Macaca mulatta: one gene and its partner. The protein of the gene in region 1 interacts with the protein of each later gene in a biochemical or structural test. Links are inferred from orthologs where the notes say so. Each region holds a gene or a part of one and is shown in the gene's direction. Other genes may lie near its edges. The genes, in order: TMPO and LMNB1.

Region 1 (8,576 bases):
ACTTCTTAATGAGGTTATTAAATTCCTAGCATAGTACCTTTTTTTTTTTTTTTTGAGACAGGGTTTCGCTCTTGTCGCCCAGGCTAGAGTGCAATGGCATGATCTTGGCTCTCTGCAACCTCTGCCTCCCAGGTTCAAGCAGTTCTCTAGCCTCAGCTTCCCGAATAGCTGTGATTACAGGTACCCGCCACCACGCCTGGCTAATTTTTATATTTTTAGTAGAGATGGGGTTTCGCCGTGTTGGCCAGGCTGGTCTCAAACTCCTGACCTCAGGTGATCCGCCCACCTCAGGCTCCCAAAGTGTTGGGATTACAGGCGTGAGCCACTGCGCCCAGCCCCTTTTTCGTGTATCATTAAAAGTACCCTTTTGAAAATCCTGTCTTGATTGGAATTGAATAATTATACCCTTAAAAAACAAAAACCTAGAACTAAATACACTGGATTTCCATTGTTGGATTACTTTTAGGTGATGAAGATTTTGCAGTGTTGATTATGCCTTAGTTTTGGAGTGTCTTAGCAATAACCGCAGGATGAGAAAATTCCATTTTGATGGTTTTTTTTTTTTGAGAAAAGGTCTTGCTCTGTTGCCCACACTAGAGTGTAGTGACGCAGTCGTGGCTTACTGCAGCCTCAACCTCCTGGGCTCAAGCAGTCCCACCTCAGCCTACCAAGTAGCTGGGAACACAGGCATGTGCCACCATTCCTGGCTAAATTTTGTATTTTTTGTAGGGATGGGGTCACACTATATTGCCTAGGCTAGTCTTGAACTCCTGGGCTCAAGCAGTCCTGCCACCTAGGCCTCCCTAAGTCCTAGGATTACAGGCATGAGCCATTGCATCTGGTCTTGATCTTCTAAGTTACATAAAATTGTGGACACTAGAGATTTGGTAGGTTTTGCTGTAGGTATAGTTGCAAATAAGGATTTGGAATATTTTGTTTTAATGTATAAGCTGCTTCCAAATAATCATAAGTTTATTCATGTACAATTACCAACAGATATATAACACTTTTAAAAAATTTTTTGTTTAAAGTTCTAAAAGGCCTGGGCATGGTAGTTCATGCCTATAAATAATCCCAACATTTTGGGAGGCCAAGGTGGTGGAATTGCTTGAGCTCAGGAGTTGAAGAGCAGCCAGGGCAACATAGTGAACCTTGTCTCTATTTTTTAAAAAAATTAGCCAGGCATGGTGGTGCACATTTGTAGTCCCAGCTACTCAGGAGGCAAAGGTGGGAGGATTGCTTGAGCCTACAAGTTGAAGGTTGCAGTGAACTACGATCACACCACTGCACTGCAGCCTGGGCAACAGAGCAAGACCTTGTCTCGAAAAAAAAAAAAAGAAATTCCAAAAGAGAGACACTGAAAAATGTGTGTTATAATGTCAGCCTACATTAAATGATATGTTGATATATGACCTGTTCATCTTAAAGCTATTTCTATAACACTTCTGGACACATGTTGCTTCTAAAAAATATCCATTGTCATTTTGCTCATCTTACAGAAGTTAAGGAAAGATATACAGTTAGTGTAAGACAAAATCTATTTTGGTTTTAAACTGCCACTGATGTTCCAATGTGTTAAGAATTTGTAATCAGTTTTGCTTTGTGATATGTGTTTTCCATAAAAGGTCATTTTAACTGCAAAGTTAAATATTTAAATCTGATTTATAGAACTTTTCTTTTCCCCATAACTGAATACAGGCATATTAATGCCTTAGAGTTGTGGAAGTTTAATCATAGTTATTTTTCATAGAGGTACAATCCGCTTATATGTGATTTTTCTATGTTGGCAAGTACTATTATGTGGTAGTAGAGAAAATACACAAGTGCAAGACTTCAGTCAAAAATAGTCATACATGGCTTTTCAGTAGATGGTCTACAGTAAGGCCTATATTAATTTACTATGTATTTCATGCTATTAAAAGAAATGTCGTTTCCAAAAAAAAACCACCTATTATAAAAACAGTGCATTATATAGTTCTGTAGAATGCAGTGGTGCGATACCAGCTCACTGCAGCCTCTACCTCCTGGGTTCAAGCAATTCTCCTGCCTCAGCCTCCTGAGTGGCTGAGATTACAGGCGCCCACCACCAGGCCCAGCTAATTTTTTGTATTTTTGGTGGAGATGGGGTTTCACCATGTTAGGCTGTCTTGTCTTGAACTGCTGACCTCAGGTGATCCACCCACCTTGGCCTCTGAAAGTGCTGGGATTACAGGCATCAGCCACCACGTCTGTCCTTTTGTTTGTTTGTTTGTTTGTTTGTTTGTTTGTTTGAGATGGTGTCTCACTTCGTCGCTGGACAGTGGTGTGATCTTGGCTCACTGCAACCTCTGCCTCCCAATTTCAAGTGATTCTCCTGTCTCAGCCTCCCAAATAGCTGGGATCACAGGCATGTGCCACCACTCCCGGCTAATTTTTGCATTTTTAGTGGAGATGCAGTTTCACTGTGTTGGCCAGGCTGGTCTCGAACTCCTGACCTCAAGTGATGCACCCGCCTCAGCCTCCCAAAGTGGCGGGTTTACAGTCGTGAGCCACTATGTCCGGCCGCATTATATAGTATTTTTAAGAACTTGAGTTTAGCCGGGTGCGGTGGCTCAAGCCTGTAATCCCAGCACTTTGGGAGGCCGAGACGGGCGGATCACGAGGTCAGGAGATCAAGACCATCCTGGCTAACACGGTGAAACCCCGTCTCTACTAAAAATACAAAAAAACTAGCCGGGCGAGGTGGCGGGCGTCTGTAGTCCCAGCTACTTGGGAGGCTGAGGCAGGAGAATGGCGTGAACCCGGGAGGTGGAGCTTGCAGTGAGCTGAGATCCGGCCACTGCACTCCAGCCTGGGTGACAGAGCAAGACTCCGTCTCAAAAAAAAAAAACTTGAGTTTAAAAAAAGAAAGAGTGAAAATAGCTTAAAATGTTGCTGAGTATAGTGTCTGAGCTGCACCCTAAATGAAGCAATACAAGTACTAAAGCAAATTCTGCCTTAATCCAGGAACAACCAGGAAGCTGTATGAGAAAAAGCTTTTGAAACTGAGGGAACAAGGAACAGAATCAAGATCTTCTACTCCTCTGCCAACAATTTCTTCTTCAGCAGAAAATACAAGGCAGAATGGAAGTAATGATTCTGACAGATATAGTGACAATGAAGAAGGTAAAATTTTAAATGATGTTAATCAAATGTATGTAATTTTTTCACACTCAAAATACAGTGACCATGAAGAAAGTAAAATTTAAAACAATATTGACAAGATATACAAATTTTATTCATGTCATTAGAGTAATTCTGTAATTTGATTTAAATACTTTTTATTGAAAATTATAAGAAACAACATAGTACAAATTTATAATTTTCTGTCACCTGAAATTGCAAGTTAACTTTGTCTTTTTTGCTTCAAACCCATTTTTCTGAGAGAATAAAGTATTACAAGTAAAGGCAAAGTTCCTTGTACTTATCTGTACCTGTCACCTCCACAGAAGTAACTACTAATTCAATGCCCATCTTTCAAGTTTGTTTTTATATTTCACATACACATCTGTCTAATACATGGTATTATTTTATACTTTAAGAATACAAAATTTATATAAACAATATGCTAAATCTTATCACTTGCTTTTTCTTACTCCTTTATTTTTGAAATATAATCCAATTAGTTACATATCTGTTTATTCCGCATAATACATAGTAGCATTTAAATATGGCATATTTTCTCTATTCTCTATTGATAGGCATTTAAATTGTTTACAGTTTTTGTTGATCTGACCTGAAGGCAACTTTAAAGCAAATATTTTGACTACATTTTTAGTAGACTAGATAGTATCTTAAAATTTGATTATGATGTTGAAATATTTTTTGAGGATAGGACGTGAAATAAATGTCCTTTAAAAATTGTAAGTACAACTTGATTTTTGTAAACTTTTAATTCATATGACTTGTGGTTATTTATTTTGATCCAGATTGTTTATATCTCAATAAGCTGTGTCTACCAGGGCAAATCTGGCAGATTAGTTCAGAATATTAAATTATAGAGTCTTTTCCTTTGACAGCACTATTTTTAGCAAAGAGGCAAAGAATAAAATCAGCTCAAACACAGGTAATGCTTAAACTTCCTGCCTCTTTTGCCTCTACAGGAAAGAAGAAAGAACACAAGAAAGTGAAGTCCACTAGGGATTTTGTTCCTTTTTCTGAACTTGGAACTACTGCCTCTGGTGGTGGATTTTTTCAGGGTATTTCTTTTCCTGAAATCTCCACCCGTCCTCCTTTGGGCAGTACTGAACTACAGGCAGCTAAGAAAGTACATACTTCTAAGGGAGACCTACCTAGGGAGCCTCTTGTTGCCACAAACTTGCCTGGCAGGGGACAATTGCAGAAGTTAGCCTCTGAAAGGAATTTGTTTATTTCATGCAAGTCTAGCCATAATAGGTGCTTAGAGAAAAGTTCTTCGTCATCTTCTCAGCCTGAACACAGTGCCATGTTGGTCTCTGCTGCAGCTTCTCCTTCACTGATTAAAGAAACCACCACTGCTTGCTATAAAGACATAGTAGAAAATATTTGCGGTAGAGAAAAAAGTGGAATTCAACCGTTATGTCCTGAGAGGTCCCATATTTCAGATCAGTCGCCTCTCTCCAGTAAAAGGAAAGCACTAGAAGAGTCTGAGAGCTCAAAACTAATTTCTCCGCCACTTGCCCAGGCAATCAGAGATTATGTCAATTCTCTGTTGGTCCAGGGTGGGACAGGTAGTTTGCCTGGAACTTCTAACTCTACACCCCCACTGGATGTAGAAAACATACAGAAGAGAATTGATCAATCTAAGTTTCAAGAAACTGAATTCCTGTCTCCTCCACGAAAAGTCCCTAGACTGAGTGAGAAGTCAGTGGAGGAAAGGGATTCAGGTTCCGTTGTGGCATTTCAGAACATACCTGGATCCGAACTTTTGCCGTCTTCTTTTGCCAAAACTGTTGTCTCTCATTCACTCACTACCTTAGGTCTAGAAGTGTCTAAGCAGTCACAGCATGATAAAATAGATGCCTCAGAACTATCTTTTCCCTTCCATGAATCTATTTTAAAAGTAATTGAAGAAGAATGGCAGCAAGTTGACAGGCAGCGGCCTTCACTGGCATGCAGATATCCAGTTTCTTCCAAGGAGGCAACACGGTTATTATCAGTTCCAAAAGTAGATGATGAAATCCTAGGGTTTATTTCTGAAGCCACTCCACCAGCAGGTATTCAAGCAACCTCCACTGAGTCTTGCGATAAACAGTTGGACTTAGCACTCTGTAGAGCATATGAAGCCGCAGCATCAGCATTGCAGATTGCAACCCACACTGCCTTTGTTGCTAAGGCTATGCAGGCAGACATTAGTCAAGCTGCACAGATTCTTAGCTCAGATCCTAGTCGTACCCATCAAGCACTTGGGATTCTGAGCAAAACATATGATGCAGCCTCATATATTTGTGAAGCTGCATTTGATGAAGTGAAGATGGCTGCCCATACCATGGGAAATTCCACTGTAGGTCGTCGATACCTCTGGCTGAAAGATTGCAAAATTAATTTAGCTTCTAAGAGTAAGCTGGCTTCCACTCCCTTTAAAGGTGGAACATTATTTGGAGGAGAAGTATGCAAAGTAATTAAAAAGCGTGGAAATAAACACTAGTAACATTAAGAACAAAAAGACACCTATCTTATATTTCAAACTTTTATGCCAACATTTTCTTTTCTGTTAAGGTTGTTTTAGTTTCCAGATAGGGCTAATTACAAAATGTTAAGCTTCTACCCATCAAATTATAGTATAAAAGTAATTGCCTGTGTAGAACTGCTTTTCTTTTTTAAAGATTTGCATAGGTAGGAAACCTGGTACAAACAATTTAAAGCTTTCTAGATCACATATTAGTCTCCAAATTGTTTTCTATTTCCTGCTTTACGTATGCTTTTACAATTCTCCAAAACTAAGAAAATTCTAATTAGGATATAAGGAGTCTTTACTGTTTAATAGAGTAATATGCATCCTCCTTTATACCTAGGACAGGTTTAAACGTTTGTTACACATTCAGAACAGTGATTTTGTTCTTTTTGATATTTTTATCTCAGTATCTTTTCACATTCCATAACTTGTCCATATTTTTGCTCATATTTTGTTGCTTTTGTTTTTTTACTCATGTCTGCAACAGCAATCATAGTAGTCTAGATCAGTGCAACTCAAACTACCAGTCTACGAACTGTTACTTATCCACAGGCAAGATAAGCATGCACAATAATTTAAATCTAAAGATACTTTTTAAGTCAATGACAGGATTTATTTTTTAGCAAAATTGTATTAATAGCTAAAGCAATGTATTGATTTACACTCTGATGCAAGTAATGTATCTCTTCATTGACTGGTAGCAACCAATTCATGGACCAGTACCATGGACCACACTTTGAGAAACACTTCTTTGGATAATAATAGATATCCTGGGATAGTGCATGTTCACCGTCTATTTTATCAGATAATGGGGCTTTTTAAAAAATACTACTTTGCTTTCATGATATATTGTATTTTGTGGAAAGTTAAGTTTAACAATATAGACTCTAAAAGCAAATTTAATTTGTTTAAAGCCATAAGAAATATACTATATCCCAGTATCTGTGTGTCTGTATAAAGCATTGTATTATCATCTTTTAATTTCTATGATTGTAAGATAAGAATCTAACTGCAGAGGTATTGTGGAAAATAGTAGCCTTAAGCATAATAAAATATGGTCTCTTGGGTACTCCCTCTGGCCATTACCACATTCTTAGATTATACATGTCCCTCTTTGCAACTTTCTGAGAGTAATTTTATTTGTTGTCTTCTGAAATGTACATGTATACATGTACCTATTGAGTGCTGTGTGATTTTTAAAAATGTATTACTGTAGAATGCTTCTGCAAATTCAATAAAAGTTGTTAAATTTGAACAGTGTTGTGTGGTCTCCAGAAACATGTTGTTATGTGTGCTTTATTCTTGGAGTTGCAACAAGTTAAACATTTGTATATGAACACCCTTTTTCCATTTCATCATTGAAACTCACTCTGACATTTCAGCGGTATGATTGAAAATACTCTGATTATTGTATGGTTTTTCTTCTGTTTGAGGACCATGTTTTTATTGACTGTTGGAATTTAAATTTATAAGAGGAATTGATCTGTAACCAGATACTTTATTTGTTTAATTGATTTCTGCTCCACTACTGATGGTTTTTTTTTACTTTGTGCTTTCTAGTTCTTAAAATCTGAGTTAACAAAGCCTAAAGTAAATTTTATATTGCTGGGGGTTGTATCAAACGTAGATATATTGATAGGGCCATTGATAGAAGTGTTGGGAGATAGACTTGAAATCTTAGTCCTAAATATTGAACTGTTTAAACTAACATGATAAAAATCACTGGTTTTTTTTTTTTGGGAAACCTGCAACTATTAAATAGATTCTGGACTAACTAATATTAACAATGGAAAGAGAGCAAGACACATATAGATGTCTAACACTTTTTTGCACAGGTTCATCATGGAGTTCATGTAAAACTTTAGAATTGACTTCCTTTCTGTCTCTTTGATAAAGTAATCTAATTTTTTTTTTTTTTTTTTTTTTTTTTTTTTTTTTTTTGAGACAGAGTCTCGCTCTGTCGCCTAGGCTGGAGTGCAGTGACTGGATCTCAGCTCACTGCAAGCTCCACCTCCCAGATTTACGCCATTCTCCTGCCTCAGCCTCTCGAGTAGCTGGGACTACAGGTGCCCGCCACCTCGCTAGTTTTTTTGTATTTTTTAGTAGAGAAGGGGTTTCACCGTGTTCGCCAGGATGGTCTCAATCTCCTGACCTCGTGATCCGCCTGTCTCGGCCTCCCAAAGTGCTGGGATTACAGGCCTGAGCCACCGCGCCCAGCCTTAAATTTTTGGTAGTAGAAGTTTTAGAAGTAATCACTGACTTGACTTACTAATTTTGCTATACCATGATAAATGTCTACAAAAAGGAGGAAATTTTTTTTTTTAAGAGGAAGTCTCGCTCTTGTCCGCAAAGCTGGAGTGCAATGGCGTGATCTCGGCTCACTGCAACCTCCACCTCCCGGGTTCAAGCGATTCTCCTGCCTCAGCCTCCCGAGTAACTGGGATTACAGGTGCCTGCCACCACGCCTGGCTGATGTTTATATTTTTAGTAGAAACGGGGTTTCACCATGTTGGCCAGGATGGTCTTGAGCTCCTGACCTCAGGTGATCCGCCGGCCTCAGCCTTCCAAAGTGCTGGGATTACAGGCGTGAGCCACCACGCCGGGCCAGGGATGTTAACTAAAATCAGTCTTTTCAAAACCTAGATTTTCAAATGATAATGAATTTAAGACTAGGAGACTGGAATATTGAAGCCTATTAAAAAATACATATCCTTGCGTTGTTAGGTTAATAATAACTATCATGGTGACAAGTCAAGTAATATATAAATATTGGCTTCTCTTCAAAGAAATGTTATTTTTATTTGAAGAAATGGGACGAGACCTGTGATTGGTCGTATTCTGTGAACAAGATTCATTACCTGAGTTGTACCTAGGTTTTTTGTAACTACATCAAAAAAACTTTTAT
Region 2 (8,676 bases), on another chromosome or scaffold:
TCCTCCCCCTTTCTTCTCACCCAATCCTAGTATGGCCCCTTCTCCCCAGATGTCTTATGTATCCTATATTTTTCTGTCCCAGATCCAAATGACATACATAAAGCAGGACAAATGTCAATTGAGTTCTTTATATGTAGTGAGGTAGTTGTGGGAGGAGTATAGGCGAGGGAAATGATGGCATGGCATGTTGAGACTTGGTGGGGTTATATATGGTCTAACCAATAATGAGGACATGTGCCCTGACAAGTAAATGGAGGTGTGTAGTGAAAACAAAGGCAGGAGATTTGAAATCACCACTATCCTAATAAATGCAGAAGGGTTGTCACTTACAAACTTACAACTTGTTACTTCCAATTCATTGGGGAAACTTTGGAGGGATAAGATTTCAGGAATTACTTGAATAAAGGGAGCTTGACTCACTTAGTATGAGAGTACAGAAGGCCATATTCCAGGTTTAGCATTAGGTATGGGAAACACCTAGAGAATAAGGAAAGTGTATATTTTGTAAAGTACCTGACTAAAAATGTGCACGATTGTCTAATTCTTGTGTGTGTGTGTTTGTGTTTTTTTTTTTTTTTTGCTACAGAGTTTTGCTCTTGTTGCCACGCTGGAATACAATGGCGCTACCTGGGCCCACTGCGACCTCCAGCTCCTGGGATCAAACGATTCTCCTGCCTCAGCCTCCCAAGTCGCTGCGATTACAGGTGCCTGCCACCACGCCCAGCTAATTTTTTGTATTTTTAGTAGAGATGGAGTTTCACTATATTGGCCAGGTTGGTCTCAAACTCCTGGCCTCAAGTGATCCACCTGCCTCATCCTCCCAAAGTGCTGGGATTACAAATGTGAGCCACTATGCCCGGCCACAATTACCTAATGCTAAGGCTTCAAGATTTTCCATTCTTTTTTCTTGGTTTTGACTGGAAACACATGATTACTATTAGTAAGAGTTACTATTTAGCCTTCACATGTTATATGTCTAACGCACTGCATAAATTGTTTTATTAAATCTACACAAATCCTGTGCAAGTAGAAATCATCCCCATTTTCTTTTCTTTCTTTTTTTTTGTTTTGAGATGAGTTTCGCTTCTGGAGTGCAATGGCACGATCTCGGCTCACGGCGACCTCCACCTCCCAGGTTAAAGCGATTCTTCTGCCTCAGTCTCCCGAGTAGCTGGGATTAGAGGCATGTGCCACCAGTCCCGGCTAATTTTATAGTCTTAGTAGAGACGGGGTTTCTCCATGTTGGTCAGGCTGGTCTCAAACTCCTGACCTCAGGTGATCCGCCGGCCTCCGCCTCCCAAAATGCTGGGATTACAGGCTGAGCCACCACGCCCGGCTGGTTTTCTCATCAGTAATTTAGATTTTAAAGTTCCTTTTAAGATTACTTGAATACTTAAAGTCGAAGCTTTTCGGTTCTTAAATTCTCAACGAGGTTAAGAAAGGAGGTATTTCATGGCCGGGCGCGGTGGCTCACGCCTGTAATTCTAGCACTTTGGGAGGCCGAGGTGGACGGATTGCCTGAGCTCAGGAGTTCGAGACCAGCCTGGGCAACACGTTGAAACATCGTCTCTACTAAAATACAAAAAATTAGCCGACTGTGGTGGCGCTGGTCCCACCAGGCAGGAGAATCGCTTGAACCCAGGAGGTGGAAGTTGCAGTGAGCCGAGATTGTACCATTGCACTCCAGCCTGGGCGACAAAGCGAGACTCCGTCTCCCTGCCACCCTTCCCCCACCCCCCAAAAAAAGAAAGAAGATATTTCAGGAAACCGGACAGGAAATAGAACCATTAATAAGGAGAATGGTCACAATTCACAGAGTGCCAGAAATTCATCTGTGATGAATATGCAGCTCCCAGTGTTCTTCACTAATTCTTATGTACATGACTTGATTAATAGTTAAAAGAATATCCTGGTCTTCATTTCTGCCATTTTTAAAGTAAGTAACCATTAATTACAGAAGCGTTCCTAACAGTTGATAAGGTGGCCATCTAGGGTATAGTTAAGGGCCAGATTCGAGTCAATTAGAATCCTGGGACCTGTCAAAAGCAGTCCCGTCTGTCGCCTGCTGGGCAGCTATAAAATGGATGCTTTTTTTTTGTTTTTTTTCAGACGGTGTCTCTGTCACCCAAGCTGGAATACGGTGTCTCTGTCACCAAGCTGGAGTGCAATGGTGCCATCTCGGCTCACTGCAACTTCCCCTTCCCGGGTTCGAGGGAATCGCCCACCTCAGTCTCCCAAGTAGCTGGGATTACAGGCACCCGCCATCATGCCCGGCTAATTTTTGTAGAGATGGGGTTTCACCATCTTGGTCAGGCTGGTCTTGAACTCCTGACCTCAGGTGATCCTCCCACCTCTCCGCCTCCCAAAGGGTCGAGATTACAGGCGTGAGCCACCGCGCCCGTCCGGATGAATTTTCAAACAGATACAATCCAGTTTCCTATATCACACGGCGGTTGTGTGGATGGGTAATCCATGAAAAGCCTAGTGCTGGCACTCAGTCCCAATAAACGTTAGCCTAAAAATTAGGAACTTTTCAAAGGGATGAAATGTGCTTTCTATTAGAAGTAGCTGCCAGTGACATCTTGGGAGCCTCTTTTTAAAAGCAAAAAATTATTTCATCTTAAATTTCCACGTTCAGATTTTTATGCATCTGATTTTAAGAGTATGAAACAGCTTGCGCTCATATTTACTCACCGTCATATGTTAATCGTATCATTTCTGAGCTGTTTTTGATTTTACAAACCCTTAAGAAACAAACGGATTAGGAACCGCCCATTAACACTGGTAGCAAATGATTTAAAATCAGGGTTGCTGGTTTTTCTGTGATAAATAATCTGTCGGCTTCAAGACGCACAGATCTCAATTTCATGGAAAGAAGTTGCCTGATATAATTTTCCACCCGAGAGAAAAATAAAGGCTGGTACTTGGAACCTGCAAGCAGTGCGTTTGGAACTCCGGACTCAAGTGCCTATTACGTAATTCCACAGCGTCCCAGCCTCCAAGCCGTTTCCCGAGCCCTCCACAGGAACAGGGGATAAGGTTACCACGCCCGCGGTGGCCGGGGACTCTGAGTTTCGCGTGTGGCTTTTAGGAACGTTTATATTTGAATTTCCCTGAACCGCCGAGTGTGGGCGGTGGCGCAGATCCGCCCCGGAAACCTCCGGGCTCCTTCCCGCCTTTCGCAGGCCCGGCCCCTCCAAGGGGTCCCCGCGGGGCGGCGGGAGGGCCCGGAGGGCGCTGGGCCCAGGGCCGCGCGGGTGGGCAGTCCCGGGCGTCCTTCCTTGCCGCCCTGAGTCCCGTCCGGGCACCGCCCAGGCGGGCGTGCCGAGCGGACGGTTGCCCGAGTGCCAGATTTTAAATTTACAGGCCCGGCCTCCGGGCCGCCGAAGCACGCTGCCCGTTCCCCATTGGCCGATGACGGTCACGTGGAGGCGCCAGGGCGCGCCGGCCATGTTGGGGTGTGCGGCGCCGCGGCCCGCGCCACCTCCGCCCCCCGCGGCTTGCCTCCAGCCCGCCCCTCCCGGCCCTCCTCCCCCCGCCCGCCGCTCCGTGCAGCCTGAGAGGAAACAAAGTGCTGCGAGCAGGAGACGGCGGCGGCGCGGACCCTGCTTGGCCTCCAGTCACCCTCGTCTTGCATTTTCCCGCGTGCGTGTGTGAGTGGGTGTGTGTGTTTTCTTACAAAGGACATTTCGCGATCGATCGATTGATTCGTAGTCCCACCCCCCCCCGCGCCTTTGCCCTTTGTGCTGTAATCGAGCTCCCGCCATCCCAGGTGCTTCTCCGTTCCTCTAAACGCCGGCGTCTGGACGCGAGCGCAGGTCGCCGGTTTGTGCCTTCGGTCCCCGCTTCGCCCCCTGCCGTCCCCTTCTTGTCACGGTCCTGCTCGCGGCCTCGCCTCCCCGCTGTCTCCGCCGCCCGCCATGGCGACCGCGACCCCCGTGCCGCCGCGGACGGGCAGCCGCGCTGGCGGCCCCACCACGCCGCTGAGCCCCACGCGGCTGTCGCGGCTCCAGGAGAAGGAGGAGCTGCGCGAGCTCAATGACCGGCTGGCGGTGTACATCGACAAGGTGCGCAGCCTGGAGACGGAAAACAGCGCGCTGCAGCTGCAGGTGACGGAGCGCGAGGAGGTGCGCGGCCGCGAGCTCACTGGCCTCAAGGCGCTCTACGAGACCGAGCTGGCCGACGCGCGACGCGCGCTCGACGACACGGCCCGCGAGCGCGCCAAGCTGCAGATCGAGCTGGGCAAGTGCAAGGCGGAACACGACCAGCTGCTCCTCAAGTGAGTGCTAGCTGGCTGCCGCGTTAGCACCAAGGAGGGTCGGGGGCGCAGTCGCGGCGGCCAGCTCACCGGGTTGTGCCCTGGGGAGGGAGTGCAGAGGCCAGGATGCACGCGTCCTTCGGAAGGAACAGGGTCTCGGTCTCCGGAAAGAAAAGGAAAAAGAATCTAGAGTTCATAGCGGGGCAGGGGTCGCGGAGGGGGCTCGAACTGTAGCGATGGGGGCCGTGATGCCCATTTCTAGGTTTTGGATACCCGCTGGGACGTGATAAGTGCGCGCCTGGGACTGCTGAGAACGAGCGCCAGCTTTCGCACCTCGAACCCGGGGAGCCGGCGCGGAGAGGCGGCCCGCAGGCCCCAGGTGCAGGGAACTGGAGCGCGGACGCGCGCTCGAGTGCGCGCCCGGGTTTCCGGCCGGCGCGAGACAAAGCGTCTAGCGGATTTGTAGTGCCAGGATGGCCGGCCGGGGAGGACAGGCAGCCCGCCTCTAGAATGAATGAGCTTCGCGCGGGCAGAGGGAGGAAGGGGAGGGACCTTCCCGGAGCATCCGCGTCTCCTGGGGGTGGGTCCCACTTTGGCGCGCTCAGTCTTGGCCCTGTGACATTTTGCGAAGGTTCTACGCCTGCTTTGGGCGGGAGAGAGAGGCGGGGCTTGATCCGCGCGCCTCCAGCCCGCCTCAGGCAAGTTAGGTTTGCTAGCTGGTTAGCTTTCTCAGGGCAAAGGTGTCCTGTCTCAGCGGGGATGGTGCGAGCCCTCAGGTGGTTCTGCGCAGGGAAGGAAAGCCGGGTTTGTGCATGTTACTGCCACTGTTCTTCGAGTTGCGGTTCGCCTACCCCTCAGGCAGCGGCCCCCTCTCCCCAGCTTTTGCCGCCTCATAGTAGAGTCGGGCTTTCGGGTAGGGACCGTGCTTAGTACCCCTTAGTCGGCCATTGTGCAGATAGTAGACCAGGGCAGGTGACAGGGTGCTATGTAAATGCTGAGTGTTTGAGCGAAGGAGAGTTTGTAATTATTCACCTAAGCGAGTGTGAGTTTTCATTCCAGTGCACAAGGATACACTTGCAGACCTTTGCAGGCCTTATTTTGATTTTCTGATAAGCAAAATGGCCTGTCATCAGTAGGCAACAAGTGTTGATGTCATGCTTTAGAGATTTGCAAAATTTGGGTCTGGAATTCGTGCTCGCCATTAGCACGGCCAACTGAAATTTCTGGAGGTACCTTATTCTCACTTTGACACTCTTTGTCCCTGCTTCTTGGATTTACTAAGCCTTGGTTTCATCTTTTGAAATGAGCGGTAAGCTCACTCACACTGTTGTTTCCATGTTTCTCCAACTTTTTGCCACTGAATTCCTTCAAGTCTTAGATATCGTTGCTTGTAAGACTTGCCATTAGATTTGTACCACTAAGAAGATAAAAACACCAGGACCAACTGTGTAGGAACCATCCTGTTGGACCCATCATGATTTCATAGATATTAAAATGTCACACAGGGCCGGGCATGGTGGCTCACACCTGTAATCCCAGCACTTTGGGAGGCGAGGTGAGCGAATCACTTGAAATCAGGAGTTCGAGACCAGCCTAATTGGTGAAACCCCGTCTCTACTAAAAATACAAAAAATTAGCCAGGCGTGGTAGCACGCATCTGTAGTCCCAGCTACTCGGGAGGCTGAGGCAGGAGAATCGCTTGAACCCAGGAGACGGATGTTGCAGTGAGCCGGGATTGCGCGTTGCACCCCAGCCTGGCGACAGAGTGAGACCCTGTCTCAAAAAAAAAAAAAAATATATATATATATATATATATGTATGTATGTATGTGTGTGTATATATATATCTGGGCGTCGTGGTGGGCGCCTGTAATCCCAGCTACTGGGGAGGCTGAGGCAGGAGAATTGCTTGATATCCAGGAGGCAGAGGCTGCAGTGAGCCAGATGGTCCGCTGCACTCCAGCCTGGGTGACAGAGTGAGACTCTGTCTAAAAAAAAAATTCACACAGATCAATGATCTGTTGTGAACCAGTCACCGTTCTATGTTAGAGGGTACGAAGATTTTTTAAAAAAATGAAGTACTATTCTTTGTTGCTGAGAGTGTAGTGGGGGAGCTGTATCCCAGCAAGCAAATAAAGATTGTCTTTTGTGTGATGTGAAGCATTTTGATGCTGGCGCTTTTGTAATCTTTCCAGGAGTTATCCACAGGTTTTTCACACAGTAACAAGGCTGCCACCTGGCTGACACTAGTTGTAAATGTATGGATTCTAAAATGCATGCTGGTTTCAGTGGGGTTAAAAAATGAGAATAATGTGTATTAGAATCAATGAAATAATGTATGTGATACAGTTTAGGTAATAGCAGATGCTAAGGGAATAAAAATGAAGCAGAGTGAAGGGTTAGTGTGATTAAGGAAGGCCTGTCTGAGGGGTTGACAGTATCTATTCTCCCAGGGTAAGTAGTGTTCTGGGATTATATTTTTCTTAGGTCTCTGCTACTGTATGTATATTCCTATTGCCAGGATTAGGTGTACTCTTCTTTCCCCCTCAGCATACCATCATTTGCTCAAAACATGCCACGTTTTAGTTTGCTCCTCATTTGAATTATGACTTTTTTAATATGGATTTATTCCTCAGTAGCCTTTCGTTTTTCTTGTTGATTAAGAAAAATTTGCCCTCAGTGTGTTTGCAGACTTTTTGAAGATATCTAATCATAATATATATCACATGAATCTACTTTCTTCCCTAGAGTTCTCTTTGCTGAAGGTATGCTGTGTACTGATGTCCTGTAACTTTTTTTTTTTTTTTTTGAGCTGGAGTCTTGCTCTGTCGCCCAGGCTGGAGTGCAGTGGCGCAATCTCGGCTCACTGCAACCTCCGCCTCCTGGGTGCACACCATTCTCCTGCCTCAACCTCCCGAGTAGCTGGGACTGTAGGTGCTCGCCACTACGCCCGGTTAATTTTTTGTATTCTTTAGTAGAGACGGGGTTTCACCGTGTTAGCCAGGATGGTCTGGATCTCCTGACCTCGTAATCTGCCCGCCTCGGCCTCCTAAAGTGCTGGGATTACAGGCGTGAGCCACCGCGCCTGGCCGTCCTGTAACTTATTAAAGACAGCTTCCTGGCTGGGCACAGTGGCTCATGCCTATAAAGCACTTTGAGAGACCCAGACAGGTAGATCACCTGAAGTCAGGAGTTTGAGACTAGCCTGGCCAACATGGCAAGACCCCGTCTCTACTAAAAATACACAAATTAGCCGGGTGTGGTGGTGGACGCCTGCAATCCCAGTTACTCTGGAGGCTGAGGCAGGAGGCTTCGCTTGAACCAGGAAGGCGGAGGTTGCAGTGAGCTGAGATCACACCACTGCACTCCACCCTGGGTGTATTTTGCTTTTCCTTGGTTTCTTCATATTTTGTTGAAGAACATCCTTAAGTAATTTATTCGGAAAGGATGGCAGGAGGTAAACTTTCTGATTCCTGTATGTCTGAAAATAGCTTTGTTTAGTCTCATGCTTGATTGGCTGTTGGGCTAGGTATAGAATACTAGGTTAACATTTTTCCAGAACTTGAAAGTATTATTTTGCCCTATTGTCTTCTGGCATCCAGGGTTGTTAATGTGTTTCTTTCTTTTATTTCTTTTTTTTTTGTTTGAGACTGAGCTTGGCTCACTGCAACCTCCGCCTCCCAGGTTCAAGTGATGCTCCTGACCCAGCCTCCCAAGTAGCTGGGATTATAGGTGTGCACCACCACACCCAACTCATTTTGTATTTTTAGTAGAGACGGGATTTCACCGTGTTTGCCAGGCTGGTCTCAAACTCCTGACCTCAGGTGATCCACCCACCTCAGCTTCCCAAGGTGCTGAGATTACAGGTGTGAGCCACCATGCCTGGCCTATATTTAATTTTTTATTTGGAACCAGAGTGTTTGTAATTAAGTATAATCATCATTTAGGTAGATTTAGATTAAGAAAACAGCCTTGAGAGAATTATAGATTCCAAGTTGCTTAGTTTCTTTTTGGTTCCTCAGCACACAAAATACCTTAGAGGCAGAGCATGGAAATGCTTGGTCTGAAGAGAATTTGGCAATAGTTTCCATGCATGTGGTGTTTGAATCCATAGGAATACAGATCTCATATGCAAGGTACAGTTACTCTGATTCAGTCCAAGCCTAGTTATATTTTGCTGAAAGCTTTTTTGGGAGAACAGTTTCCAAGAATGATGATGAATGCCATCACTCAAAACTTTAAACAAAAAGTACAGAGAAATTGACTTGTTTCAGAATTTCACTGTTAACTATATGGGAAAAACAGATGTAACAGAAAGTTGTGTTTATATCAATCTTCAATAACTGGTTTTATGGATTCAGACATTTATTTTCCTTCAGTGATACAGGTCCCCTATCTTCTCTGTAAAACCCTGGGGGC

Evidence for each region.
Region 2: the proteins of TMPO (region 1) and LMNB1 form a complex in vitro, tested with the Homo sapiens proteins (2 studies listed by BioGRID). The link is inferred for Macaca mulatta from reciprocal best matches to the Homo sapiens genes TMPO and LMNB1.

Annotation. Positions count from the first base shown.
Region 1 is NC_133416.1:105,821,982-105,830,557, forward strand, and holds part of TMPO (thymopoietin), read left to right. Parts: intron 1-2,985; coding exon 2,986-3,144; intron 3,145-4,121; coding exon of another isoform or gene 4,122-5,644; exon of another isoform or gene 5,645-6,906; intron 6,907-8,576. UniProt on the Homo sapiens protein: May help direct the assembly of the nuclear lamina and thereby help maintain the structural organization of the nuclear envelope. Possible receptor for attachment of lamin filaments to the inner nuclear membrane.
Region 2 is NC_133411.1:135,729,174-135,737,849, forward strand, and holds the start of LMNB1 (lamin-B1), read left to right. Parts: upstream 1-3,699; 5' UTR 3,700-3,920; coding exon 3,921-4,279; intron 4,280-8,676. UniProt on the Homo sapiens protein: Lamins are intermediate filament proteins that assemble into a filamentous meshwork, and which constitute the major components of the nuclear lamina, a fibrous layer on the nucleoplasmic side of the inner nuclear membrane.